7 linked regions of the Callithrix jacchus genome follow. The protein of the gene in region 1 purifies or fractionates together with the protein of each later gene. This does not show direct contact. Links are inferred from orthologs where the notes say so. Each region holds a gene or a part of one and is shown on either strand. Other genes may lie near its edges.

Region 1 (3,500 bases):
TCTAAGGCTACTCTTGTCTTTTCTGTTATCTGAAATAGGAAACATCACATTGAGAGTTTGGAAGTTAATCAGGATGTAAATAGTCATCAAATATATCAATTCCCTGTTACCTCTTTAATAGCTTCTTCATCGGGCCTTTGCAGGTCTGGGTCATCTGCATTCATAACCTCCTTTGGAACCAGGTCAGTGTATTTGCTGTAAATGACCTAAAATGTTCAGACACAAGTAGGCTTAAGAAAAGCAAACAATGAAAAGAAACCTCATTAAGCCACTTCAGATGTCAACACGTCCTCTCAATAGACTTAAAAATTTGGGACACTCAGATTTTGTCTTTTAGATTTTAAAACCAAGGATGATTAAAATAAATATACACAAATTGCTATCCTGGCTATAAGTTGATAATTTTCCCTTGACCTCATGCATTTAAATTATTTGAGATCTTCTAATCAAGTCAGTGTCCAAATAAACTATGCCAACAAAATCATGCATCAATGATCTCTATTTTTGAGGCTCACTAGGTCTTGAAATTAATGATAATAGAAATTGCCTATAGGACCATTATCTTGGATTACAAACTCATCAGAATTTAATTCAGGTTACCAAGTATTATTTCCAAAGTCACTGGGCCTGGAAAATTTTATTGACCTCATCCTACTTATAACGCTTCTCTTTTCTGCTGTCAACTCTATTCACAGACTAAGAAAATAAACATGTGCCACAGTTAAAAAACCCAGAACACTTTCTTCCGTGAAAAGACAAAAGGAAAAAAAAGAAAAATATATATACTCTATATATACAACTTATTTTATATCCATTATCCAAATTGAGGCCTGTTATATGACTTCTAGTAGGCCCAACATGGCTTCTGTTAGGGTGATGCTGATGTGGCAGGCCCTTAACAAATAGAATATTGGTTGCTTTCAGGTCCATCTATGCTTCTTAAATATTTTCATAAAAAGTTTCATGGCATATATTAAAGTAAAAAAGAAATACAGAAAATTCAATAAATAGGCATTCTACACTTTAATGCTTTGGTCAGAAATTCTTTGATGTACATTAAAAGGACAACTTATAACTATCAAAGAAAATAAAATTCCTAGGCACTCGAGATCTTCAGAATTTTTTTGTAGAAATGTTTAGTGCTACAAGCAGTCTTATATTAATAAAGTCTATCATACTTCATTCTTTAAAACAGTTTAAAGGAAATGGATGCTATTTCTAATTTTATACTCCAAACAACAGAGCAAAAAAGTGTGAGCCACTTCATGGCTTACACAACTTGACCTGACTTTGCCTATGCCTTCAATCTCCCCTTATAACTCTTACTCTCTCACTCATTATGCTTCAGTCACACTAGCTTATCATCTGTTTCTTGAACATAACATGCTTTTCCCCAATTCTAGGCCTTTACAGAGTGCTGTTCATTGTTCTTCAAGTAAGCTCCCAATCTGTGTATTTCAGATCAAAGGTCCTGCTTTAGTGAGGCTTCTTCTGACTGCCCTTGCTAAAGTGGCAACCCCTCCCCACCCAATCATTTGCTCCATAACACTGTTTACTGTGATCAAGACTGTTCACAGCATGAAATTATTTATCTACTTTACTTGTTTATTATGTCTCCCCTATTAAAGCAATTAAAATAGGGCTGGGCATAGTGGCTCACACCTGTAATCCCAGCACTGTGGGAGGCTGAGGCTGCAGATCACCTGAGGTCAGGAGTTCAAGACCAGTCTGACCAACATGGAGAACCCCATCTCTACTAAAAATAGAAAAATAAGCCTGGCATGCTAATGGGTGCCTGTAATGCCAGGAACATGAGAGCCGAGGCAGGAGAATCATTTGCACCCAGGAGGCAGAGGTTGCTGTGAGCCAAGATTGCACCATTGCACTCCAGCCTGAACAAGAACAAAACTGTCTCAAAAAAAAAAAAAAAAAAAAAATCAAAATAATAATAGCTACTATTTAGTAAGCACTTTATATGCCTGTTTTTTAGAGTTTATTAACTAAATAAGCTTTTTATCAACCCTAGGAGGTATGCACAATGATAATACCCATATTACTTGTCAGCAAAATACATATATATATTTTTTTCTTTCTTTTTTTTTTGAGACAGAGACTTGCTCTGTCACCCAGGCTAGAGTCAGTGGCGAAATCTCGGCTCACTAAAATTTCCGCCTCCCGGGTTCAAGAGATTCTCCTGCCTCAGCCTCCTGAGTAGCTGGGACTACAGGCACGTGCCACCAGGCCTGGGTAATTTTTTTTTTTTTTTTTTTTCAGTACAGACAGGGTTTCACCCGATTGGCCAGGATGGTCTCCAACTCCTGACCTCATAATTTGCCTGCCTTAGCCTCCCAAAGTGCTGAGGTTAGAGGAGTGAGCCACTGCGCCCAGCCTTGGGCAATCTTATTATTAAAGTATCTACTGGCCAGGTGTGGTGGCTCATGCCTGTAATCACAACACTTTGGGAGGCCAAGGCAGGCGGATCACCGGAGGTCAGGAGTTGGAGACCAGCCTGGCTAACATGGTGAAACCCCGTCTCTACTAAAAAAATAAAAAATTAGCTGGGTGTGGTGGTTGGTGCCTGTAATCCCAGCTACTTGGGAGGTTGAGGCAGGAGAATCATTTGAATCCAGGACGCAGAGGTGGCAGTGAACAGAGATCGTGCCACTGCCTTCAGCCTGAGGAACAGAGGGAGATTGTCTCAAAAAAAAAAAAACAAAGTATCTCCTGTGCTTATAATAATGACTAGTCCGAAGGAGATATTCGATCAATTTTTTTGTACAAACAAATATATAAATGAATTTTAGAGATGCTCTGTTACATGCTAAAGGTGTTTATATGATTCATGCCTGTAATCCCAGCACTTTGGAAGGCCAAGGTTGGAGTATAACTTGAGCCCAGGAATTCAAGACCAGCCTGAGAAACATGGGAAGACTGCATCTCTATTTTAAAGAATAAATGAATGAATGAGTGAATAAACAAATAAGTTTATATTTTAGGTCCTACAGAACTTTCTATAAGCTATTGATTGCTCAGAAAAAAACTATCTCATGGCTATTCGCTGAAATCTCCAGCTTGTTTTTCTCCGGAATGAGAAGAGGGATCAGGTAGGACAGCATAAGATGTTTTAGCACAAAACACATACTACTGATATGTGAGCTATTAGTGTCATCATACTCTAAGAGTGTTCATTTTGAAAGGGATCATAAAACTTACTCTATTGAAAAGAGTGAGGCTCAGTACATTAAGATCACATAGCTACTAACTGACCTCAAAAGTCTTATTTCCTCCCATGATGGAAAAACTTATACAACCATAAGCTGAAAATTATATAACAACACTAGAAAAATATACCAAGTCTATGAAGAGTTAATCATGAAGAGTTTATCACTTCTCCATAGCAATCATTATAGGAAATGATTCTAAGTAAACAGTTCCCTGGTAGTCATACATGTTCAACATAAACTGTCAATAGTAATTTAGCATACAAGAGTCATTTGCTG
Region 2 (3,500 bases), on another chromosome or scaffold:
CTGAGGAAGTCATTCGGCATCTGAGGGGGCCCAGCCATCTCACTGGCCCGGTGCAATCCCAATACAAGCAAATCCATCACCAGGCCGTAATACTGCACGATGAACGAGGCAAACTGCAGGCCTCTGATGATCCCATATGAATTCGTATGGTTCATGTCCTAGAAGGAAAGAGCCACGATTCTCAACAATCTGGGTCACGTCCCAGCATTCTCTGAGACCCACCTCTTCTGTTCTCCCTCAGCAAATTCTGCGGTCAGTGGACCTGACAAGCCCCAAGACACACCTTGTAGTTGATGACGACGTTGTTCTTGGCGGTCATGTAGTCAGCTATGTTGTGGTCCACGATGAGGCGCAGCAGTCTGTTAAGCAGGGTCAAGTCGATCTTTTCATACATCTTCTCAAAGCGTGATTCCAGCATGACATTGCACTCGCCTTCACTTGTCTCCCACACATCCTGGAGATTATTGATGCCTGAGGAGTAGCAATGCAGGTCTCCAGCAGTTAGAAATCCTCTCAGGACTAGCTCCACAGTAACTATCATGATATTCCACATATGCATCCAGATCGCTATGACTCAGTTTAACATGAACACTACCTTCCTTCTGTGACAGGTATCAAGAGAGGAAACCAATCACACTGCTCACATGAGAATTTTGACGCTGAACTAAATCCACCCCCCACTCCTCACAGGGCAATCTTGGAAAAGTTCTACCTTGGCACCACTTGTAAACCAGCAGTGGCGGTGGCTCTGTGTCTGCAGGCTTAATCCAGGGTGGAAAGAGGCGGCGCTTGTCAGCTTCGTACCACAGGTATTGGTCCAGGTAGGCATCAGTTATCTTCTCCAGCGGCTCTACGTCGTACACTGGAACCAGGTGGCTATAGAGATCCATAAACTCGATGCCCACCTGTGGGACAAGGAGGCTGGTTCACACCAATCCACCTATCACCTGAGGCAACCTGCTACCTTTGGTTCTACCAAGAATGAATGGCAGAACCAAAAAGAAAACTTGGATAGCAGCTCACTCACTTCTTTGAAGGCTCTCTGTGTGAGGAGGTGACGCTTGATGCGGGACAGAGCCTCGTGGGGGTTATCGTAGGCTTGCTCAATCAGACCTAGCTCCTCCCTCTGAGACTGGTTTAACCGAGACTTCACACTGACGTGAAAGCAATGGGAAAGGTGAATGTGAAAACCAAGAGGAAGTCAACCCAGAAAAGAGCGGGCTACACCTTCTTTCTTTGGACTCTGATGAGGAGCCCACTCCCTGCTGTCCCTTCCCAGCAGGAACCTATCTACCCTGCTACTCACCTATAAGCTTCCTTGAGCCGCTCCAATGCCAAGATGAGTAACTTGGTGTCATGCTTATAGGAGAGTGGGGGGAATGGGATCGGGGAGAACCTACGGCTTTCCAGCCAATGCACGGTGGTGGTGTACACTGCCACTGCCTCCTCTGCCGTGATGTAAGGCCCGTCCTGCAAGGGGGACATGAAGTCAGCCTCCACTACAGCCCCATCCCCCGGACAAGGTCTAGTCACAAGGCTGCAGTTCTCGCTCCCGTGTACTCCCCACCACTCATACCAGCCCAGCCTCCTCTGCCCCACCTTCAGGTAGTTGTGCTGCCGCTCCTGTTCTGCCTTCAGGTAGAGCCGCGTGAGGCGGCCCAGGTTCTTTTTACAAACAGTCTTGTCCACAGTGGCCCCTCGGCGAATCCGCTCGCGGTTGTAGTGGGCAGTGTTGGTCCACCAGTCAGCCTTGGCCTTCACGTACCGAAGGATCATATTCTCTATGGGCGTCGGCAACCCAGGGACCTGAAAGTCCAAAAAACACCATCAAGCCAGGTACTGTGGCACACTTCTGTGACCTGGCTCCTCAGGAGGCTGAGGAGGATCACAAGCTCAGGAATCTGAGGCCAGCCTAGGCACCACAGCAAGTCCCTCTCTAAAAGGGAAAAGAAAAGAGACGGGAGCCAATTAGCCCCCTATTGATTCCCGAAGTGGTGATCGCAACCTAAAGATGGATGAGGCCGGGTGCGCCTGTAATCCTAACACTTGAGGAGGCCCAGGCAGGCAGATCATGAGGTCAAGAGTTTGAGACCAGCCTGGCCAACACGGAGAAACCCCGTCTCTACTACCACTGCACTCCAGCCCAGGTGACAGAGCAAGACTCCACCTCAAGGAGAAAAAAAAAAACAAAAAATGGTAATTTACGCCTCCGAGAAAAGAGAGACACACTCACCTTCCAAGGAATGTTGGCTTTCCAGCAGCGCCAGGCTTCGCTGAGGTGCTGCAGGATCGTCCGGGCCTTGTTCTGTTTGATTCCCTCAGGCATCATGTCCAGAATATCATGCATCACAGCTGCCCGAAGCTCCAGGTCAAAATGCGACTCCACTCGCTGCTTTGTTACTGTCTTCGCCACCCCCTTTGAGTGTCGACCTAGAAGTAGAGTGTCCCGTGGTGATTACAAGCAAGATTCCTTGCTTTTAGTAAGGGTCTCTACCTTCATGCCCCTCACTCATTATGGTTACAATCAAATTAGGTATTAACAAAGCGTCCATGTGCCCAGCATACCCAAAAAGACGAGCTGCCTTAAACATTCACAAGTATGCTTCTGAGGAATCTCCACTCTCATGCAAATGCATGACTGCTTCTCAAGGCCCCAGAAGGAAGCCCAAGATATAGAATACTAGGTCATTTGAGAATTGGATCTAAAGGCAATCCAGTAGAAAGGGGTGCTCACACAAGAGCAGGGAACTAGGGCAGGGGACAGAGCAGAAACACACAAGCTACCTTTGAAACAGTAACAGGAGAAGGTGGACAGAGAGAAAACCACTCACCTTCAAACTGCCGGGCCAGGAGGTTGCCCAGCCATCGCTCCAATAAAGGCGTAATGCCACGCATGAAAAACAGCCAGACTCGCCAACCAGCAGCCCAGAAGCCACAGCCAGGACCCTTCCCTACAGGGCCCTAGGAGCCAAGCAGAAGTTCAGAACACAAATCAGCAACACATTTAAAGAACAACAGAAACCTGGGCAGAGGTGGGGCATCAATATATATATACATAAAGGGGAACACGGGTATGGCAGTAGAAGGGAAAAAAGAAAAACTCTGGGACCTCAACATCTAAAACAAGAAGGTAAATGAGAAACCTTAAGGCAAAAACCAGGAACTAAGTTCTCCCATATGAATTTAAAGGAGCAGTAAGAAGACACTCACAGCTGCTCTCCAAATAGGTCCCCAGAAAGAGCCAGTCTAATTGTATAAATGAAAAAAGATCTGAGAAAGTCAGTCGGTAAGGACAGGCACAGTGGCTCATGCCTGTAATATCAGCACTTTGGGAGTCCAATGTGGGTGGATGATGAGGTCAGGAGTTTGAGACTAGACTGGCCAACATAGTTAAACCAAGTCTCTACTAAAAATACAAAAATTATCCAGGCATGGTGGCACACGCCTACAATCCCAGCTACTCAGGAGACTGAGGCAGGAAAATCACTTGAACTCAGGAG
Region 3 (4,104 bases), on another chromosome or scaffold:
ATCTTCTTTCTCCTTCTCTGTGATGTATTCTCCCCCCACTGCCCCATAATTTACCAGCAATAGCAGTACTACCTCTACCCTCCATTACATTTCAGAACATAGTTCTGTATTAGCACGCCAGGGCATCATCTCCTAACTTCTGCTCTGTCTTTGGATCTAAGTAAGTTGAACACAATGGTGTATCATCTGCTAATATCTGTATAACTCACCAAAAACAAAGTTGTCTGGTCTAAAGATCTGGCCAAAAGGACCTGAGCGAACAGAGTCCATGGTCCCAGGTTCTAGATCCACCAGGATGGCACGAGGAACATATTTGCCACCTACAGAAAATAAAGTAAAAGCTGTGAGATCTGGCAGAGAAGGCTGGGAGACAGCGGGGACCCCAGACCTGTCATTCCAGGTGCTGCCACCAGGTGGCAGCAGACGTCTGGCCCTGACGGTGGCTCACCCAAGGCAAAGGATGACAGATCACCCAAAGAGTAAGGCGTGCCCAAGAATGTAGAGAGACCCAGAGAAGTGGGACACACGGAAGGGAACCCGAGCTGCCCGGGCTCCTGCCCTCACCTGTGGCTTCATTGTAGTACACGGAGATGCGGTCCAGCTGCAGGTCACTGTCCCCGTGGTAGGTGCCAGTGGGGTCGATGCCATGTTCATCACTGATCACCTCCCAGAACTGCCGGGTGAGAGCAAAAAGTACAACAGCTCAAGTCCCAGCCAACTATGTCGAAAGTACCATTTTATCTTTTATTTTTTTTTTGAGACGGAGTATTGCTCTGTCACACAGGCTGGAGCGCAGTGGCAAGATCTTGGCTCACTGCAACCTCTGCCTCCTGGGTTCAAGCGATTCTGCTGCCTCAGCCTCCCAAGTAGCTGAGACTACAGGCACAGGCCACCACGCCCAGTTAATTGTTGTATTTTTAGTTGGCCAGGATGGTCTTGATCTCTTGACCTCGTGATCCTTGGCCTCTCAAAGTGCTGAGATTACAGGCGTGAGCCACCGCACCCGGCCTCTTTTTATAATTTTTAAGGCAGGGTCTTCCTGTTGCCCAGCCTGAGCAGTGGCGCAATCACAGCTCCAATACTACCTGGAGCTGACAAGCTCAACCGATTCTCCTACCTCAGCCTCTGGAGTAGCTAGGACCCCAGACGCGCGCCACCGCGGTGCACAGTGAATTTTTTATTTTTTTTGTAGAGACGGGGTGGGGGGTGGGCGGTCCTCGCTTTGTTGCCAAGTATCCGCCCGCCTCGGCCCCACACCTCCTATTTTAATTCCATATGCCCTCAGGCCATTGTTCTACGGCCTGGCATCCCGTGTGCCTGCCACACCCTTCCCCTAGACACTCGCTCCCCCGGGAAGTCACAGCTTTCTCCGATTGGGGTGAGGTATGTGCAGCGATTCCTAAGCGCTCGGGTGGGCGGAAGGAGGTCGACCACAATAAGATAAGCGCCGCTCTCCTTCCACAGCGCGGGGCACCGCCCCACCGCGCCAAGCACAAAAGGCCGGGGACTGGGGGTCCGAGAAGTGAGTGGCTGCCGCAGTCGACCACCCCCCGCCCTCCATGTGACTGCAGCGCACGCGCAGGTCGAGCCGCCGACAAAAGGCTTCGCGCGTGGGCGGGGCCAGGGGCAAGAATTCCGCGCACGAGGGGCGGGGCCCAAGGTAGCGCGCCCCCGCCGGCGGGCAGGACCGCACTGTCCCCGCGCGCGCCTCGGCCCCGCCCCGCAGGGCCCCGCCCTTCTGCTACAACGTAGCAGCCGCACTTCCTCCCGCCCCTCCCCCGCTACACTGTAACCGCGCGCAAAAAAAAAAGAAAAAAAAATTCCCCTTGGCCTCGAATTTTATTCCTTCGCTAGATTTCCCCCCCTTGATTTAATGCATTCTTTCTCTCCCCTTAAGTCCTGAGGGACTTGGTAAAAAAAAGTCACACACCCCATTTTCTCCCCATATCCCTTCACGCCCTAAAATGATCTCTATTAGGGACCATGAAAGCAAGTAAAATTAATCCCGCTCTTATTCTCCTTCCACTCAGGGACGATCCGCTCTCCGGGGTCGCGGGCGCGCTGGGCTCCCTGGTCTTTTGTGAAGAGTAGCCCGCAGCACAGCCCACCCTGGCGCGTCGCCCCCCCACCCTTGCACTGGAGCTCTCCGCAGCAGCCCGACTGCCTCGCCCTTACCCGCTCGGGTTTGGCCCTTCGAACCCCGCAGGGGGGTTGGGCGGGATGCACATGGGCAAAACCTCGCCCCGCTTTGTCTTCGACCATTTCCGCATCTCTCTCCCTGCCCGGTTCTCGGACCGTTAGAAGCCCTTCTAAGTGAAAAGCTCACAGATCCTCCGTCTTCCCGCCCCCGAAACCCGAAGAGCCCTTTTGCTAGTTTCTCCAAAATGTGTCTGCCAAGAAAAATGATTCCCAGCTTTCCAAAAGCCAATGCTAGCTACAACTGTTATGTATATAAATGTTACAAACTTGGTTGGGAGAGGCAAGGCTTGATTAAGGATGAAGGGCGCAAATGCCCCACAACCATTTTTTCATAAATTACCTGGATTTTTCCTTCTAAAAAGAAATAAAAGAGGTGTAAAATTCTTACCTTGGCACCGATCTGGTTGCCACACTGACCGGCCTGGATGTGCACGATTTCCCTCATGGTTAAAATTTAATTTTTTTGCTCGCCTCAAGGTATGTACGGGGCAAAAAAAAATAGGTAATTATTTTTCTCTGCTGGTCGCAGGCTGCAAGGTTGGAATGCGCCCCAGAGCTGGAGTAGCGAGGTGCAAACGCGGCGGCAGGAAGGTTCTGAGAGGGAGAAAGGAGAGGGGAGGGCGCGGAGGAAAGGCAGGCTGGGCGGGGCGCGCGTGCGCCGGGGCTGGGAGGCGGGAGAATCGGCCCCTCGCGCGGTCGGAAGACAAAGCCTCATCGAGCCTGGCCCTGATTAGTCGATGTCGGTCATGTACCGGGCGTCCATTGGCCTCTGAGGCAGTGGACGACTGCAGTCCTCTCTGGGAGTTGTAGTCACCTATTGTTGTCCACGCTGCAAAATGAAGTGACGAATGGGTGGATACCGGTTTGGTTTTTGTGGGGTTTTCGTTTTGTAAATGAAAAACGACCTTGCGCAAGGTTCCTTTCCTCTGTGCCTGAGGTGTTTGTACAAAAAGTGATCAGTTCTCGGGGATACGGCAGTTCAGAAGTCTGGGGTTCCAGAAGTTGGGTGGTGCGATAGGCACGCCTTGAAAGCTCCCGGCTGCAGTATCTCTGGGGAAGACAGGATTGCTCAGCTCAGCGAAAACTGGGAGAAGTGTGGCACCGAGGTAGTCTGCTACCTCTGGCACTTGGTGACCCAAGGCCTGAACTTCAGTAAGCCTCTGCTCCCTCAAACACTTCAAGGAGGGAATTGCCCTCTTGCTGTTTCTTTGGGAATTTTCGAATCATTGTTTTGAAAGAGAAACAAAATTGCAGCAAGGGCTTTTCAAGATAGAGATATCTGGAGAGTATGTTCAAAGAATAAAATGAATGGTTTAGAGAAACCGATGTCGGGGATTTCTGAAGCCAGAAGTCTCCATCCACATAGGAAATCTGGACCTTAGGGCAGAATTTGAAGACACCTTGGTCTTGTCAGATAGGGAACTGTGTTATGAGATGCCTGATAGATTTTCAATTTTTTTCAGCCTACCTCTCTAGACACGTTGATGAAGTCAGTGGTTTTTCAATTCGCTGATTTCACTGACCAGGTGGCCGCCGTCTCTACAACTCTGCCAGAGATCCAGTATTGAAAAAGGAGAGGTGATGGATGGGGGGAAATTGGATGCGCCCAAGACAGAGTCCATCTGCTTCTTCCCAGAGATATATTCACTTATTTGATAGATACTATGTATCCACCAAATTAGGAACTAGGGATACGAAATGATTAAGAATTAGCTCCCTGTACTCCAGGATGTTGCAGGCTGCTGAGAAGCATACAGTCAATAAAATGTCGTAAGCACTCAGAAATGTGGTATCAAGTCAAAGTCATTGTTAATTCACATTCGATGACACACAGATACATGTATTTCTAAGTTGCCTTCTAAATAAGGGAACATCAACTTGTATAAGCCCCTCTCTACCCACGTA
Region 4 (3,946 bases), on another chromosome or scaffold:
TGTGCTACTCCAACCATATCCAATCCACTTAGAGCAACTGGCCATCCCTGAGCTTGAATAGCAGTAGGCTCAGTAAAGTTCTGTCTTGCAATAACATCCATGACATTTGCTATAGTGACAGATATTTAGTAAAAATTAGTAATGCCAAGTAAAAGGGAGTGGGTGGGAACAAAATCCCAGTGGTAGATAGAACTGAAAACTAGAATTACCAGGGAAATTGGCTTCATAAAAATTTAGAACTGGCTTCGGGCAGTTGTGACCTCTAACTGTAATCTCCTTGCTTCTTCTGTATGTTTCCACCTCTTGCTGCAAAACAAATTTTAACAGTCTTAAAGTTCATGGCAACCACCCCTAGCTAAATGTAACTGGTAAGCCCCTAAATTCGTAATTGAGTAAAGTAGCTTTCGTTTTTATCTGACCCATATATGAAAACACTATATGGCAAAAGAACAGTTTATTCCGTTCTCAACCTAATTAAGTTAAAAAAAAAATCCCAAAGCCACCTATTGAGTCACAACTTTCCCAATTATGAAGTCAGAAAACGTAACTACCAAAATTGAATCATTTGCAAAACACCTGTCAGATTTTCATTTACTAGAATCCATTACTGAGTTACAGCCTGATGAAGCCACATTAATTTACTCACTGCTGTGCGCCTAGACAAATCAGGGTGCTCTTGATAAAAATTCTTCTCAAATTTGGGCAGCTCATCAAGATTCCACTTCTTTTTAACTAGTTTCTCCCCAGGGTTTCCAAACTTCTTTCCAGATAAAGGCCCTCCCCTGCTTCCTCCAAATCGAGGTGCACCAAACCTGCAAAGAAAAAACGTTATTCACGTTTTCAAATATCTAAACACAGGTTTCTATACAGATTTGTTTACCATCCCTTGACACAAAGCTACAGATCACTGAAAAACGACCTTAAGAGGTTTAGTAAACAAAGCACTGTCCTTAACGATAGTCTTTCTCTTAGCCACAGTTAACATTTCTAGTAGTCCCAAGTACACACTTAGGCCATGTAAACAGCCCTGGATTTATCATGTCGGGAACTTGCGGCCCAGATGCCATAATTTCGGATACACACCACTTCTTGCGGTTACTATAATCTTCCCCACCAGTCTAGGAATTAAGTATCAGGGATAACAAGGATACACGAACCAAAGAGCATCCCAACGATGTTACTCATATGGCCGTTTTCAAGCCAAAGAGCTTTGGTGTTAAAGAATCGAGACAGCACAGACAGCGAGACCAAAACAAGGGTTTTCTCGCAAATACTTCTGCTAGCAAACCGAGCTGGGGGGACGCCGCGGTAGAGCTCCCGATCAACGAATAAAAATTATATAACGCAGGAAAAAAGAAAAGGAGGAGCCGGCGACTACCGGGGGAGGAGTCCCGGCCCGGGCGGAGCCGGCCGGGCGGCGTTCCCGCTGGGGCGGCGCTTCCCCCTTTGTCTCGCATTTCTCTCTGCGCCACATTTTCTCGACGCTGCCATTTTGAGCTCCTCCGCCGGGCGGGGTAACAAAGGCGCCGCCGCCATGTCCGAGGCCGGCATTTTGTACCCGCGACTCAGCCACATGGCTGATGCCGGCAATGCCGACCGCCCTCCTAACCCCCCCCAGCATCAGTGGCTTTAGAAGTGGTCCTAGAGCTCCCACAGAATGCCCGGCCACCCGAAAAACACCTCCTGAAAGGCAGAATCTAAGAGCTGCTACTTCGTCTTACTCGAAACGTCGTGCTTTCCAACGCACAATATGCTCCCTCTGAATTCCTCCAACAGCTACCAAATGGCAGCGGCCCCGACGACTTCCTAATCCCAACAAAAAGCGAGCTTGAGGGCACTACACCGATAAACCACTCCCAATCACTGTTACGTGATTATCAAAATGGCGCAAGTGTTCAAGAGACGAGGCCCCAGGAGAATCCGGAAAGGCCGAGTCCGAGCCCCAAAGCCCCCGCCGGCCGCCACCCTCACCTGCCGTCCCATCCCCCACCTGCTAGGCCTGACAGCTCGGCTTCCACACTCACCCTCGATCCCGGCCGCGGTCTCGGTCACTCGAATAACCCGACATGGCGTCAATGGTTGCGGTTGGCGGGGAACGAAGTACAGACAAAAGGGTGCGACGAGTCGCTGGAAATGGCCTCGACAACAGCGAAGCCTTGCGGGGGCGGCAGCGGAGGACGGACGGCGATGACACAATCCGGAGCTACAAGACCACAGACCGGTGAAAATGAATGAGGTGCCGGCCGCTTTCCGGCAGCCGCTTTTATAGTCTGGACCGCCTCCTACGCCGCAAGGAACGCTGGGATCCGCTCTATGACCTAATCGCCCCGCCCGTCGCGCAGAAGCCGCAACGGCAGCCGGCGCTCCAGGAGAGCCTCTCAGCTCAGGGCCCACCCACTATTGGAATGTCTCATTCTGCACTCTCTTGACCTTACCTTCTTCTCGTCTTTCCACACCTCAAGCAAGCCACCCCGCCCTTTCCCAGGCCCAGCCAGACGATAAAACAGCCTGCCCAGGCCAGCCAACCCTCCTCACTCGGAGATGTTTACGTCTCCAAAGGGCCCTCACGCCCGTAACCAAATGGCAGGCGGGGACTGGCGTGTCACGTGACTACCACCCCCGCCACCGGTCAGCGGGCCGCACTACTTCTCCGTTGACGTCGGCGGAGGGATACATAACGAAATAGTACCGGAAGTGCGCTCCCAAAGCCCCAGGACCCGCCTGGGCTGCCGACCCACGGATCTGACAATCATCTACCGGGTTCTGGCCAGCGGAGAATGGTCTCTAAACTCAGCAAACCGCCGCCCTGGCACGTGCTGTGAAAGGAAGTGCTGCTCTGTGACCAATCAGCGGCGAGCAGCCCCTTTGATGTCCCTCCCTCTTTCACGCCTCCTTCCCAGCGCTTGGGTTCGTTCGCCCTCATCCAAGCGTCGAATCTGTGTGGATCGGTCCTTCCAGGACACCGTAGCCTGCCTGGCCTGTAGGGGTCCGGCGGCAAACTGCCTCCAAAACATGGCCGGCTCGGAGGCTGGTGAGTGTCGGCCTGGGGTCACGGTTGGTGTGAACTGAGGCCGTCCAGCTTCAGGGAGGCCTTGGGCTGGCCCGGACTGGGTCTAGGCTGTCGGCGGGACTCGTGACTGTCAGACGCCGCGTCGCGGTGGCGGGTTCTCTGGATAGGGTCTCTCAGCTTTTCTCCTTCTCTGTGAGGCTGTGGAACAGTGATAGGCGGTAGGAGAGAGGCACTGGGGCGAGCCTGGTAGCACACTCGGGTCTTGGGTGCAAAAAGAGCAACCAGAAGGGTCGTTCCCGGACTTGTCCTTCTGTGGAGTTGTCTGGCCGCTGTCAGTGTGCCCTCCGCCCTTGTACTGTGGGTCCTGAGGTCTAATCTACTTTTGTATTGGTCTTTAAAGGAACAGCACCTTAAGATTTGTTGATGCCCATGTCGCAGAATACTGGTGCTTTTTTCTCTTCAGTGTTCTCTGAAGTCATGGGCTTTGTCTAGCAACGCTTTTGAAAAGCGAATTGGTTTGGTTGTCTAGGACGCTTTCATCCTTTTCGCCAGGACTGCATACAAACCAGTTCTCACGGTTTGGCCAACTGTGAGAAATGGGCGTGGGGAGGGGAATTATGTGCATGGAAGATACACTCATTTGTTTCCAGAACGTTATGTGTCCGGAATATAGTGGAGACGTTTGTGTCTAGTACCGAAGGAAAGTGCTTTCCTACCAATGCCAGGCATTTCAGGGAACAAGTATTTTATGCGAAGTTACTTTTGCTAGAGAAACCGTTAAACTTTGCAAGTCCCAGCAATATCTGGGAGAGGGGAGTCCGGAGCACAGGAAAGGTCAACAGTATTGATAATTCTGAGCTTAGGGATGTTTTCATATACTTCCCATATTTCCTTTCATTTAGATCAGTATAATAAAAAAGAAAAACTTAATAAATG
Region 5 (3,500 bases), on another chromosome or scaffold:
GGGTACTGGCTGCACTTGCCCAAGCTAGAAATTAGAGGGCTACTACTCAATTATAACATAAAGAAAGGGGAAAATGCCATGTCAAATACATGCCTCTTCCTTTATGTTCTCAAGGCCAACCATGTTCTTCTCTAGTAGACTGTTTGGAAATGAAAATGGTAAGGGACAGGGAAGGAAAGGTAAAACATGATTTTTAAACACACACACTTAAAAACACACATAACCACACTTACATACACACTTAAAATTCTGACACTTCAAGTGGCCTGAGCCTATTTCAGAACTCCTAGCCAAAAACCTACCCTCCCACCCACCCTCACACATTCCCACCCTCCAATCCCACCCACCAGGAGTCACTGCTATGTATTGCATACACACAGCAAAATCCCTATCCCCTTCCCAATTATATAAAAAAACTAAACAGATAACTTACTTTAAATTATTTTTTTTAAGTCTCTTAAAAAGATTTTGATGTTTAAATACTTCCTCTCTTCTGATATATTAAACACCAAAAGGATCCATAATTGTCTGATAAAACAATTTTTCGGCTCTGGCAAGAAGAGGGAAGATACTCCAATCAACCTAATTAGACGGTGGAGAGGCCAATAATTCAGAAAGTGTTCTTAATCCTTCACAGCTTCAATACCTCTCTAATACCAGTTAAAAACTGTAAGAAAATAGTTAAATGCATGAGGCAGCAGATATAATAGCCAAGGCCTTCTACTACCCTCCCACCTATGTCTCAATACCAATTTACTCCCTAGTCCATGAAGGGTAACATATTTCATAAGTAATTTTCTTAGTCCAAATCAGTAGTCAAAAAAAAAAAAAAAAGAAAGAAAAGAAAAAGAAAAAAGTATATATATTTTTTTTTTAAAGAAGTTTTTTTTCTCCTCCTGTTTTTCTTTTTTACTTAGGAAGGGGCGGAAGCGGTGGAGGAGGTTCTGATGGCAGAGGTGGTGGCCGGGGTTTGTCTGTATTTCCAGATCTCGAGGAAGAGATTCCACCAGCCCGAGGATTCAGATATTCGCTATAAGGACGAACAAATTCAAATGCAGTGGGCTGAGTGGGCTGAACACCTTGGGCACTGAGCAGGGAGTGAAGCATATTCACAGTATCTTGATAGTCTATTGTCTGGGTCGTGTTATGACCATTGGCCCCAGTGGCCCCTTTATCCAGTTTCGAATGAGAGACTCGAGTTTTACAGCTGGGCTGTGAAAAGGAAAGGCCACTTGTGTCTGAGCTATGCCCAGGCATCTGAGCCATTGCAGGAAGTGAAGGGAAGGAGAAATTTAGGGAAGAGGATTTACTACTCTTGGCAATCTTGGTTGGATGATCAAACACTGCCCCTCCAGTCTCTTCAGAGGGTCCCCTTTTACGAGTAGTACTGGAAGAGGAAAAAGAACTAGACAAGCTATAGGTTTTATGTGCTAAGTTGCTTGTCTGGCTACTATGTTTTGGATCACCTGGACGTTTGTTCCCTGTACTAACTGGAAGTTGTGAATGAGAGTGCTTGTGTGAGTGGTGATTATGATGATGATGGTGATTAGATGGGTGAGTCTTATGCTTTTCTTTGTGCTCTCGGCTCTTTGTAACACTGTCCTCTACAGAATTGTGCTTATCAGCTGCAGCATGGACTTTTATGCGCATTTTTATCTCCTCTGGTTTTGAAGAGGCAGCCTTATCTCCACCTGCCACTGGAATTCTCATTTTGAGAGCTGTTTTGTCAGCCTTTTCCAGAAAAGACCGCTCGGGGTTTTCTGAACCCTCTAAGGGCATTTTTAGAATGACTGAAGAATGGCTATCATGATGAGAAAGGAGATTCTGGGCAGCATATGCATACTGTGACTTCACATTGGCTTCCATGTTCTCCAGTTGCTTCTTTTGAGCAGCCAACTCTTCTGCATGCTTTGCACGGTATTCTTTCAGTGACACTTTAGCTGACGGCACACTCTTACTACTCTGCTTCTGGGAAATAAATGCATTTGAACCATCCTGTGGTAAGGAATGATCAACTCCTATAAGTGCTAAATTGTCACTAGTCCGATGACCCTGAGTAGGTTCTAGTTTGAAAGAAGGTTGGGAGGACAGCCAACGCTCTCCAGGCAACATCTCCACACTGGCTAAGTTGCTGGATGATTCTTCGGAGACTGGGAGGGAAGGCACTGCATTTGTGGTAGAAGAAGTTGACATGCTCATTAAACCTGCAATGGTTGTGTCTGAAGAGCTCTGGGAAATCATATTGAGGATTCTCTGCTCTGAAGTATTTTCATCTGTTCCTCGGTCATCTGCTTTTGTTTTCTGGGCAGCCTGGCATGCCTGGAATGAAGCAAATAGCGTCTCTTCACTTCAGGTAATTTATTAAATAAAAAAACACTGCGATGAGTAAATTGTACTGGCAGCAACACTGGAAGTTCTGGATAGACCACAGGCAGGAGACTTTCCTAACATGAAATCCAGTAAACATTACCATCAAAAGAATATTTCAAAACCTTCACTTGCCAGGCGCAGTGGCTCACACCTGTAATCACAGCACTTTGGGAGGCCGAGATGGGTGGATCACGAGGTCAAGATATCAAGACCATCCTGGCCAACATGGTAAAACCCCATCTCTACTAAAAAACACAAAAATTAGCTGGGTGTGGTGGCACACGCCTGTAGTACCAGCTACTCAGGAGGCTGAGGCAGAAGAATTGCTTGAACCCAGGAAGCGGAAATTACAGTGAGCCAAGACTGCACCATTGTACTCCAGCCTGGAGCCTGGAGACAGAGCAAGACTCTGTCTCAAAAAAAAAAAGCTTAAAAACCTTCAATTAAGAGTCACAGCAATGGCCGGGCGTAGTGGCTCACGCCTGTAATCCCAACACTTTGGGAGGCCAAGAAGGGTGGATCACAAGGCCAGGAGATCGAGACCATCCTGGGCCAACATGGCAAAACCCCGTCTCTACTAAAAATGTAAAAAAACAATAGCTGGACGTGGTGGCAAACACCTGTAATCCCAGCTATTCAGAAGACTGAGGAAGGAGAACTGCTTTAACCTGGGAGGCAGAGGTTGCAGTGAGCCGAGATTGCGCCACTGCACTCCAGCTTGGCAACAGAGCAAGACTCCGTCTCAAAAAAAAAAGTCACATACATGAAATCTATGCCTTCTGCTTATGATTATAGTCAGTCCATAACAGAATTCTAGAAATTTTGGTGATATTTTATGCTAAAGTAAAAGATGAACTATGTGATCTCAAGCCTACTTCTTTTTGTTGTTGTTTTTGGGTTTTTTTTTTTTTTTGAGACAGAGTCTCACTCTGTCACCCATGCTAGAGTGCAGTGGTGCAATCTCAGCTCACTGCAACCTCCGCCTCCTGGGTTCAAGTGATTCTCCTGTCTCAGCCTCCTGAGTAGCAGAGATTACAGGTGCCCACCACCACGTCCGCTAATTTTTTGTATTTTTGGTAGAGATGGGGTTTCACCATGTTGGCCAGGCTGGTCTCAAACTCCTGACTTCA
Region 6 (3,500 bases), on another chromosome or scaffold:
AGTACTGGGATTACAGGTGTGAGCCATTGTGCCCAGCTTAATGGTCTCATTTTGACTTAATCACCTCTTTACATGCCCTGTCTCCACATACAGTCACATTGTGAGGTACTGGGGGTTAGAGCTTCCACATATGAATTTTGAACTGGGTACAGTGGCTCACACCTGTAATCCCAATACTTTGGAAGTCCAAGATGGGAGGATCACTTGAGTCAGGGATTTCGAGACCAGCGTGGGTAACATGCTGAAAAGCCATCTCTATAAAATATAAAAAATTAGCCGGTTGTGGTATCATGCGTGTGTAGTCCCAGCTACTCAGGAGGCTGAGGCTGCAGTGAGCCTTGATGACACCACTGTACTGCAACTTGGGCAACAGAGCAAGAGACTGTCTCAAAAAATACATATAACACATGAATTTTTTTTTTTTAAAGAGATAAGGTCTTGTTGTTTTGCCCAGGCTGGAGTACAGTGGTACAGTCACAGCTCACTATAACCTCAAACTCCTGGGCTCATATGATTTTCCAGCCTTAGCCTGCTGAGTAGCTGGGACTACATGCACATGCCACCATATCTGCTGAGTTTGTTTATTTTTGTAGAAATAAGGTCTTGCTATGTTGCCCAGGCTGGTCTTGAACTCCTTGCCTCAAGCAGTCCTCCCATCTGGTCCTCCCAAAGCACTGGGATTATAGGCATGTGCCACTGCTTCCAGTCTAAAAAAACACATGAAATCCATAGGGGACATATTTCAGTCCGTAACAGGATCCAAGGCCTATTTGTATTTTCCTCAACAGGCTTAATGCCTGAGCAAATATTTTTGGGTTCCCTGCCATCTCCCCATCAGTGATGTGGTTATACTCTGCTCCCAGATCCTTTGTTTACAGTTCCAATCTGTTTTGTAGCCCAAGTTCCTCTCCAAAGCAGAACGAGAGGCTGAAGCTCTAAAGCGACGGCAGCAGGAGGTGGAAGAGCGGCAGAAGATGCTTGAAGAAGAGAGGAAGAAAAGGAAACAGTTCCAAGACTTGGGCAGGAAGATGTTGGGTTCGTTATTCTACTCTGTGTAGCCCCTAGATGGGAGAGGAAAGAGATGAGATAGTGTTTCTCAGGAGAGATAGAAACCTGTTCACTCTGAAGTTTGGAAAAGGGAAAGATGGTGGGAGTTGATGAGAAAACATTTTTCTGTTAGATCTCCGTTTACCCTGTATCATAAGTCTATCCCTTTTTTTCTTCATTTGGTGTTCCTCATCTGGATTCCCTCCATTCCCTCTCCTCTTTTCTTCCATGAGCTCTTCTGCAGCTTTGCTTTCTTTGGTCTGCAGAAGATCCTCAGGAACGGGAACGTCGGGAACGCAGGGAGAGGATGGAGCGGGAGACCAATGGAAATGAGGATGAGGAAGGGCGGCAGAAGATCCGGGAAGAGAAGGATAAGAGCAAGGAACTGCATGCCATTAAGGTGCAGGCCTTGGCTCCATCTTCACTTCTCTCCCATACACAAAAATGAGGTTTAGTTATTTGGCCATTGTGATCTCTGCATGTGAGACTTGAGCCTCGAGGCTTATGTGCTTTGTGTTCTTTCCCTGGGCAGGAGCGTTACCTGGGTGGCATCAAAAAGCGGCGCCGAACGAGACATCTCAATGACCGAAAGTTTGTTTTTGAGTGGGATGCATCTGAAGACACATCCATCGACTACAATCCCCTGTGAGTGGCTTCGGGCCTGAGTTCTAGGTCTTTTCCACTGGGCAGTCCTAGAGAGCTGATGACTGGAGTAAGTAAGATAAGCTGGGGTGGAAAATTGGTAGACTAGTAGTCAGCCAACCCTCTGGTGGAAAGAAGACCCTGTCCAGGAAGAACTGTTTCATATTGGCAATCTGTCCTTCCCTCCTACTGCCGTAGCAGCTCCTTCTCTTTTTTCTTCCTTTGTCTCAATCCCAGGTACAAAGAACGGCACCAGGTGCAGTTACTGGGGCGAGGCTTCATTGCAGGCATTGACCTCAAGCAGCAGAAACGAGAGCAGTCACGTTTCTATGGAGACCTAATGGAGAAGAGACGAACCCTGGAAGAAAAGGAGCAGGAGGAGTGAGTGATCAAGGCTAGGGTGGCTGGACAGAGCCCAGTCTCTACAGAAAGGAGTTGGAGGGCACTGATCCTACTTACTCCTCACATCCTGCTCCAGGGCAAGACTCCGAAAACTTCGTAAGAAGGAAGCCAAGCAGCGCTGGGATGATCGTCATTGGTCTCAGAAAAAATTAGATGAGATGACGGACAGGGACTGGCGGATCTTCCGTGAGGACTACAGCATCACCACCAAAGGCGGCAAGATCCCCAATCCCATCCGATCTTGGAAAGACTCTTCTCTTCCCCCACACATTTTGGAGGTCATTGATAAGTGTGGCTACAAGGTAAGGAGGGGCAGATTGGCCCAAGAGATCTGACATGTTCCTAGTTTGGGAATACAGAACTTTATTCCTTGACTATTTGGGACCATTGCTGCTAGTGGGCATCAACCTTTTCTATCAGTTTCTAGTAGAAGTGTTGGCTTTTAGTGATTATGTTTCTTCTTGGGGTCCCCATTTCTGTGGACTGTACTTGGCATCCTTCCATTGTGCTAGGAGATGTGCTTTCTACTATCAATGGTAGCCCAGGTTGTATAATTCTGCCTGTACCTATTACTCTTTCTTGGGGTCACTGCAGGAACCAACACCTATCCAGCGTCAGGCAATTCCCATTGGGCTACAGAATCGTGACATCATTGGTGTGGCTGAGACTGGCAGCGGCAAGACAGCAGCCTTCCTCATCCCACTGCTGGTGTGGATCACCACACTTCCCAAAATTGACAGGTGAGGTCAGCTGGCACCAGCTGGAGTGGGTTTTTCTGGGTAGGAAAGATGAAAGTGGCAAATGAATGTTTGGTTTTTGTTTTACACCTATAATCAGAAGCTTGCTTCTTTATTCTGGGTTGAATATTAGGGAATAATTGGATTGTGGTATCATAGAACTATATGTTGCTGGCAAAGACCTGGAGAACTTTGCTATCCTGGAGTCTCTGATTTTTATTTATTTTATTTTATTTTTTGCTGGCAAAGACCTGGAGAACTTTGCTATTCTGGAGTCTCTGGTTTTTATTTTTTAATTTATTTTATTTAATTTATTTATTTTTTGAGATGGAGTCTCGTTTTGTCACCCAGGCTAGAGTGTAGTGGTGGGATCTCGGCTCACTGTAGCCTCTATCTCCAGCTTCAAGTGATTCTCCTGCCTAGCCTCCCAAGTAGCTGGTGTTACAGGTGCTGACCACCACGCCTAGCTAATTTTTGTATTTTTAGTAGACACACGGTTTCACCATGTTGGCCAGGCTGGTCTCAAACTCCTGACCTCAAGTGATCTGCCCACTTTGGCCTCCCAAAGTGCTGGGATTACAGGCTTGAGCCACTTTGCCCAGACCCAGCCTCTGATGTTGAAGTGAGATCATTGCGTTCTTTTCTTATCACCCTCCCCATTTCCATCACTCC
Region 7 (4,001 bases), on another chromosome or scaffold:
TGCTCCTCGGAGAGAGGCTGGTTGTTGATGGGGTCAGTGCCATTCTCTGCAATGTACTTCTCAATGAGCCGCCGCTCATAAACATGATTAGAGACAGGGGACACACATGGGTGCTCCGGCACTTCATTAGAGACTGTAGAGAAAAGGCCGGCAGTGAGCTTGGAGTGAAGGCAATCTTGCTGTTACGCCCAACAAGACTAAGCATCCTCACAATCAACTAGCAGGAAGCAAGACATCTGACCCTAAGCCAGTTCTGTACTGGCCCCAGAATGCTTTCCAGCTATGGAACTAGCTTCTCCATTAGTCTCCTGACAATCAGTCAACAAATAATCATTAACAACTACTATGTGCCAAGCACCTAGAGAACAGCACTCAATATCCCCGCCCCTCTCATTTTTGAACAATGATCTATGAATACAGTTTACTCCATGACCTGGAGATACACATGAAGCTATTCTAATGCCTGCCATCCATCTTAGTCTATAGCTCCAGAGGGATTATCAAAGAAATTATGAAGTCTGAGAACATAGGAATAACAAACTCAGTCTCTCCTATTCTGTCACAAAACAAAATATTTCTGTGACCTCGGATGTGACCGTCTGGGTGTCCTCCAATTCAATTCTGACACCAGGTACCTGGAGACAGCGTCAGATCACACGGGTTGAGGACTTAGTCCCACGAGACTCCCCTGCCCCTTCAGACGCCAACTGTGATTCCCATGTTGTTTGACCTGTTCGTCTGATCAACCGGCAGTAAATCAGGGTCCCATGACCCCCTTTTTGGGTTCAATTAATTTGCAACAGTGACTCATGGCATTGTGGAAAACACTTCCATTTACCAGTTTATTATAAAGGATATTACAAAGGATACGGACGAAGAGGTGCATAGGAGGAGGTATGGGAGAAGGGTACAGAGCTTCCAACGCCCTCCCTGGGCGCCCCACCCTACAGGGACCTCCATATGTTCTGCTATACAGAAGCTCTTTGAATCCTGTCCTTTTGGATTTTCATGAAAGCTTCATTACAAAGGCATGATTCATTAAATCATTGGTCACTGCTGACCAACTTAACCTCCAGCTCCTCTCCTTACCCAGGTTAAGTGAGGGGTAGGACTGAAAATCCCAACCTTCTAATACCTCCTTGGTCTTTCTTGGTGACTAGTCCTCATCCTGAAGCTACTGAGGGTCTGCCAGCTACTAGTCAACTGATGAGCATACAGACAGACATTTATCACCTGGAATATTCCAAGGAGCAAAGTGGCAATCACTAGAATAAAAATATTTACATGGCACATTACACTGCCAAGCACAATTCTAAGCATACCGTACAGGAATTCGTCCTCACAACAACCCGCAAGAGAGGTATCATTTACACGCTTGCCAGCGTAGTCTGTGCACCCCTTGAGGATAAGGATTACAGCTGGTCTCTCCCTTCCAATATAATGCAGATGCCCTATGGGCACTCGGTAAACATCTAACAAATGAGTGAACCATGCCAGGAAGGACGGTCCTGGGGAACGTAAAAGAAAGCTTCTCCAAGATTGGAAGGAAACAATGAATGTGAAAGTACTTTGCGAGCTGTAATTTCTTCACTGTGAGGGATCCTTTTCCATCATTTCCCTTCCTTCTTCCCCCTCTTTGGATCAATGTACAGGTTCTGAGAAGAGAAGGAAATGAATAGCAAAAGGGAAGGGAAACGAGTAATCTGATGAAACAACGAAAAGTTAAAGGGAAACGTCTGAACGTCATGATAAAATATCAAAGGGAAAGGCAGTGGAAGGTATGGAAAAGGCATGGATTCAGGGTCCAAGCTCCATGTCAGCTAACTACGTCACCCAGCTCTGACACTGACTGACTACGCATCCTTAGATAAGCCCCGGCTCTTCCTGAGCCTTGCATCCTCATCTGCAAAACCAGGATCTTTATTTCTCCTTTAGGGAATTCTTGTGAGGATAAAATGAGATCATAGACTTGGAAGCGCGTTGTAAACCAATAAGGGCTTTATAAATGTGCGACTGTTTTTATCAGTCATACAGTGTAAGGCCGAGAGCCAGAAACCTGGCTGCCAGCCTTGCCTCTGCCTCTAACTCATCATGTGACCTTTGCAAATTGCAAAAGCTCCGACCATCCGAGCGAGACCTCGCAAAACAACCAGTGCAATGCTCCTCAATTTTGCAGATGGGGAAACCAGGGCCCAGAGCCTTAAGCCAATTCACAAAGCCAACGGGAGGCGGACCCTGGAGTTTCCAAACTCCTACATCAAGGCTGTTTCCCCTGCACCAGTTCTCTCTGTCCAGGCTGTTTCCACTCTGTAGAACAAGGCGATTGGCCTCAGTAATGCCTGCGGCAATAAACCTCAGGCACTATGTAAACTGCGGAGCACTGCGCAAACGCATCCCGCTCCGAGGGGAGGGCTGCGAGGTTGACAGGCCTCCACTATGCCTCCCGGGCGCCCCATAACCGCCTCCACCCCGGCCCGAGCGCCGCAGCGGCCCGCACACGGTCCCGCGCCGCTCTCCGGCCTCCTGCGACCCGCGCTCGGTCGCAGTAAACACTCACTGGAGCAGATCAGGGACATGGCGCCTTCGCCGCGCTCCGAGACGCCACACGCCGGACTCCGGGACTAGTTTCTGAGCCTCCGGCACTAGTTTCTGAGCCTCCGCGAGCCACTTCCGGTCCCCCGCTTCTGCCGGGACTGCTCGGCGGCAAGCTGGGAGCCGCTCGCAGAGCGATGCTAGCGTAGCGCTTCACGTGGGAATGGGAACAGCCGCGCGCCACAGCCTTCAGCACCTAACGGAAATTGCCCTTTCCCAGAATGCAGCCGGGCAGGAAAAGGCCAGCCGCGAACACTCGGTTATTTCCGGATTGACTCGGCTCGTTCCGTAAAGCGCCGGCAGAGTGGCGGGGACGTCGGGAGAGAGGAGACTCGAAACTACATTTCCCATGATGCAGTGAGAATTTAAAACCAAATCAGTTGGACAGCACTTGTTTTGACAAGTGTGATTTGGGGCAATTCACATTGACTTCCCTGCCCTTTCATCTTTGTCAAAAGACAAAATCACAACAAATTTAAAGTTTAGTTTAATTTTTTTTTTTAAAGAGACTGGCAATGTTGCCCAGGCTGGAACGCAGTGGCTATTCACAGGTGCAATCACAGCGTACTACATCCTGGAACTCCTGGGTTCAAGTGATCCTTCTGCTCAGCCTCCAGAGTAGCTGGGATTACAGGTGCAATTCTGTAGAACTGGGCGGCGCTCCTCACTATAAAATATAATGATTAGTCCAATGAGCTGAACAGGCAAGCTTGTATTTATAGACCGAAAAGGACTGAGGAAAACAGAACCAGAGACAAAAAAAGCAGATTGGTCGTTTGGTCATGTCAAAATTACTTTTCCTGTAAAGGTTAAAGTGGAGGGAACTTCCTTATCATGCCATCTAAAACTAGCCTGTTTCGGAATTTGGCTATTTTCTCTCTCTCCCACACCTTTTTCCCTCTTTCCCTCAATTTCTCTCTCCTACTCAGAAGATCATAAAGATCCCCGTTTCAGCTCATTAGCATGGAACTTCAGCAGGACTAACTCTTATTGGCTTGGTATGTTGGGCCTAGTGCAAGATCTCAGTCCAAACCAATGGCCTCCTATAAATTTATTTTATATTTGCTATTTCTCTTCCAGCTCAGATAGTGTATGATTCTTTGCAGATATCTGTAAGATAATATACTCTCAGAAATCATGCAAAGGACATGTGGTGTGGACTAAAAGGTATCCAGACAAAAGGGCGGGACGAACAGGATGTGTAAGCAAGAGGAACTTTGACAGATGGGCAGTATTCAGATAGAAGAGCAGGAGAACGAAAGACGTTCCAGAAGGAGAAACAACATAAGCAAAAGCTTGGAGAGAAAAATAAAAGTTACACTTACAAAAGGCAGTATGGCACAGGGGCCAAGGGCATGGACTCTGAAGCCAGACTGTGTGCTAGCACCACCCAGGTGATTGGCTGTATG

The links.
Region 2: the proteins of SNW1 (region 1) and PRPF8 purify together in Homo sapiens (affinity purification with mass spectrometry; 5 studies listed by BioGRID and IntAct, with this or other methods). This does not show direct contact. The link is inferred for Callithrix jacchus from reciprocal best matches to the Homo sapiens genes SNW1 and PRPF8.
Region 3: the proteins of SNW1 (region 1) and TUBB purify together in Homo sapiens (affinity purification with mass spectrometry; 3 studies listed by BioGRID and IntAct, with this or other methods). This does not show direct contact. The link is inferred for Callithrix jacchus from reciprocal best matches to the Homo sapiens genes SNW1 and TUBB.
Region 4: the proteins of SNW1 (region 1) and DDX5 fractionate together in Homo sapiens (co-fractionation; 3 studies listed by BioGRID and IntAct, with this or other methods). This does not show direct contact. The link is inferred for Callithrix jacchus from reciprocal best matches to the Homo sapiens genes SNW1 and DDX5.
Region 5: the proteins of SNW1 (region 1) and CCNT1 purify together in Homo sapiens (affinity purification with western blotting; 3 studies listed by BioGRID and IntAct, with this or other methods). This does not show direct contact. The link is inferred for Callithrix jacchus from reciprocal best matches to the Homo sapiens genes SNW1 and CCNT1.
Region 6: the proteins of SNW1 (region 1) and DDX23 purify together in Homo sapiens (affinity purification with mass spectrometry; 3 studies listed by BioGRID and IntAct, with this or other methods). This does not show direct contact. The link is inferred for Callithrix jacchus from reciprocal best matches to the Homo sapiens genes SNW1 and DDX23.
Region 7: the proteins of SNW1 (region 1) and PRPF19 purify together in Homo sapiens (affinity purification with mass spectrometry; 3 studies listed by BioGRID and IntAct, counting the BioPlex papers as one, with this or other methods). This does not show direct contact. The link is inferred for Callithrix jacchus from reciprocal best matches to the Homo sapiens genes SNW1 and PRPF19.

What each region holds. Positions count from the first base shown.
Region 1 is NC_133509.1:112,696,542-112,700,041, forward strand, and holds part of SNW1 (SNW domain-containing protein 1), read right to left. Parts: intron 207-3,500; coding exon 111-206; intron 30-110; coding exon 1-29. UniProt on the Homo sapiens protein: Involved in pre-mRNA splicing as component of the spliceosome. As a component of the minor spliceosome, involved in the splicing of U12-type introns in pre-mRNAs.
Region 2 is NC_133506.1:66,559,598-66,563,097, reverse strand, and holds part of PRPF8 (pre-mRNA-processing-splicing factor 8), read right to left. Parts: intron 2,962-3,500; coding exon 2,832-2,961; intron 2,431-2,831; coding exon 2,234-2,430; intron 1,807-2,233; coding exon 1,600-1,806; intron 1,471-1,599; coding exon 1,307-1,470; intron 1,155-1,306; coding exon 1,028-1,154; intron 906-1,027; coding exon 713-905; intron 472-712; coding exon 284-471; intron 159-283; coding exon 1-158. UniProt on the Homo sapiens protein: Plays a role in pre-mRNA splicing as core component of precatalytic, catalytic and postcatalytic spliceosomal complexes, both of the predominant U2-type spliceosome and the minor U12-type spliceosome.
Region 3 is NC_133505.1:35,516,857-35,520,960, reverse strand, and holds the start of TUBB (tubulin beta chain), read right to left. Parts: upstream 2,801-4,104; 5' UTR 2,645-2,800; coding exon 2,588-2,644; intron 674-2,587; coding exon 565-673; intron 321-564; coding exon 210-320; intron 1-209. UniProt on the Homo sapiens protein: Tubulin is the major constituent of microtubules, a cylinder consisting of laterally associated linear protofilaments composed of alpha- and beta-tubulin heterodimers.
Region 4 is NC_133506.1:89,766,629-89,770,574, forward strand, and holds the start of DDX5 (putative ATP-dependent RNA helicase DDX5), read right to left. Parts: upstream 2,801-3,946; 5' UTR 2,690-2,800; intron 2,597-2,689; exon of another isoform or gene 2,436-2,596; intron 2,239-2,435; exon of another isoform or gene 2,204-2,238; 5' UTR 2,069-2,203; coding exon 2,025-2,068; intron 813-2,024; coding exon 647-812; intron 307-646; coding exon 210-306; intron 110-209; coding exon 1-109. Other genes in the region: CEP95 (centrosomal protein of 95 kDa), read left to right, coding at 3,013-3,031. UniProt on the Homo sapiens protein: Involved in the alternative regulation of pre-mRNA splicing; its RNA helicase activity is necessary for increasing tau exon 10 inclusion and occurs in a RBM4-dependent manner. Binds to the tau pre-mRNA in the stem-loop region downstream of exon 10.
Region 5 is NC_133510.1:70,881,664-70,885,163, reverse strand, and holds part of CCNT1 (cyclin-T1), read right to left. Parts: intron 2,320-3,500; coding exon 910-2,319; 3' UTR 1-909. UniProt on the Homo sapiens protein: Regulatory subunit of the cyclin-dependent kinase pair (CDK9/cyclin-T1) complex, also called positive transcription elongation factor B (P-TEFb), which facilitates the transition from abortive to productive elongation by phosphorylating the CTD (C-terminal domain) of the large subunit of RNA polymerase II (RNA Pol II).
Region 6 is NC_133510.1:70,732,011-70,735,510, forward strand, and holds part of DDX23 (putative ATP-dependent RNA helicase DDX23), read left to right. Parts: intron 1-896; coding exon 897-1,035; intron 1,036-1,313; coding exon 1,314-1,447; intron 1,448-1,579; coding exon 1,580-1,692; intron 1,693-1,926; coding exon 1,927-2,070; intron 2,071-2,167; coding exon 2,168-2,393; intron 2,394-2,685; coding exon 2,686-2,831; intron 2,832-3,500. UniProt on the Homo sapiens protein: Involved in pre-mRNA splicing and its phosphorylated form (by SRPK2) is required for spliceosomal B complex formation.
Region 7 is NC_133511.1:117,927,757-117,931,757, forward strand, and holds the start of PRPF19 (pre-mRNA-processing factor 19), read right to left. Parts: upstream 2,801-4,001; 5' UTR 2,577-2,800; coding exon 2,558-2,576; intron 1,656-2,557; exon of another isoform or gene 1,569-1,655; intron 134-1,568; coding exon 1-133. UniProt on the Homo sapiens protein: Ubiquitin-protein ligase which is a core component of several complexes mainly involved pre-mRNA splicing and DNA repair. Required for pre-mRNA splicing as component of the spliceosome.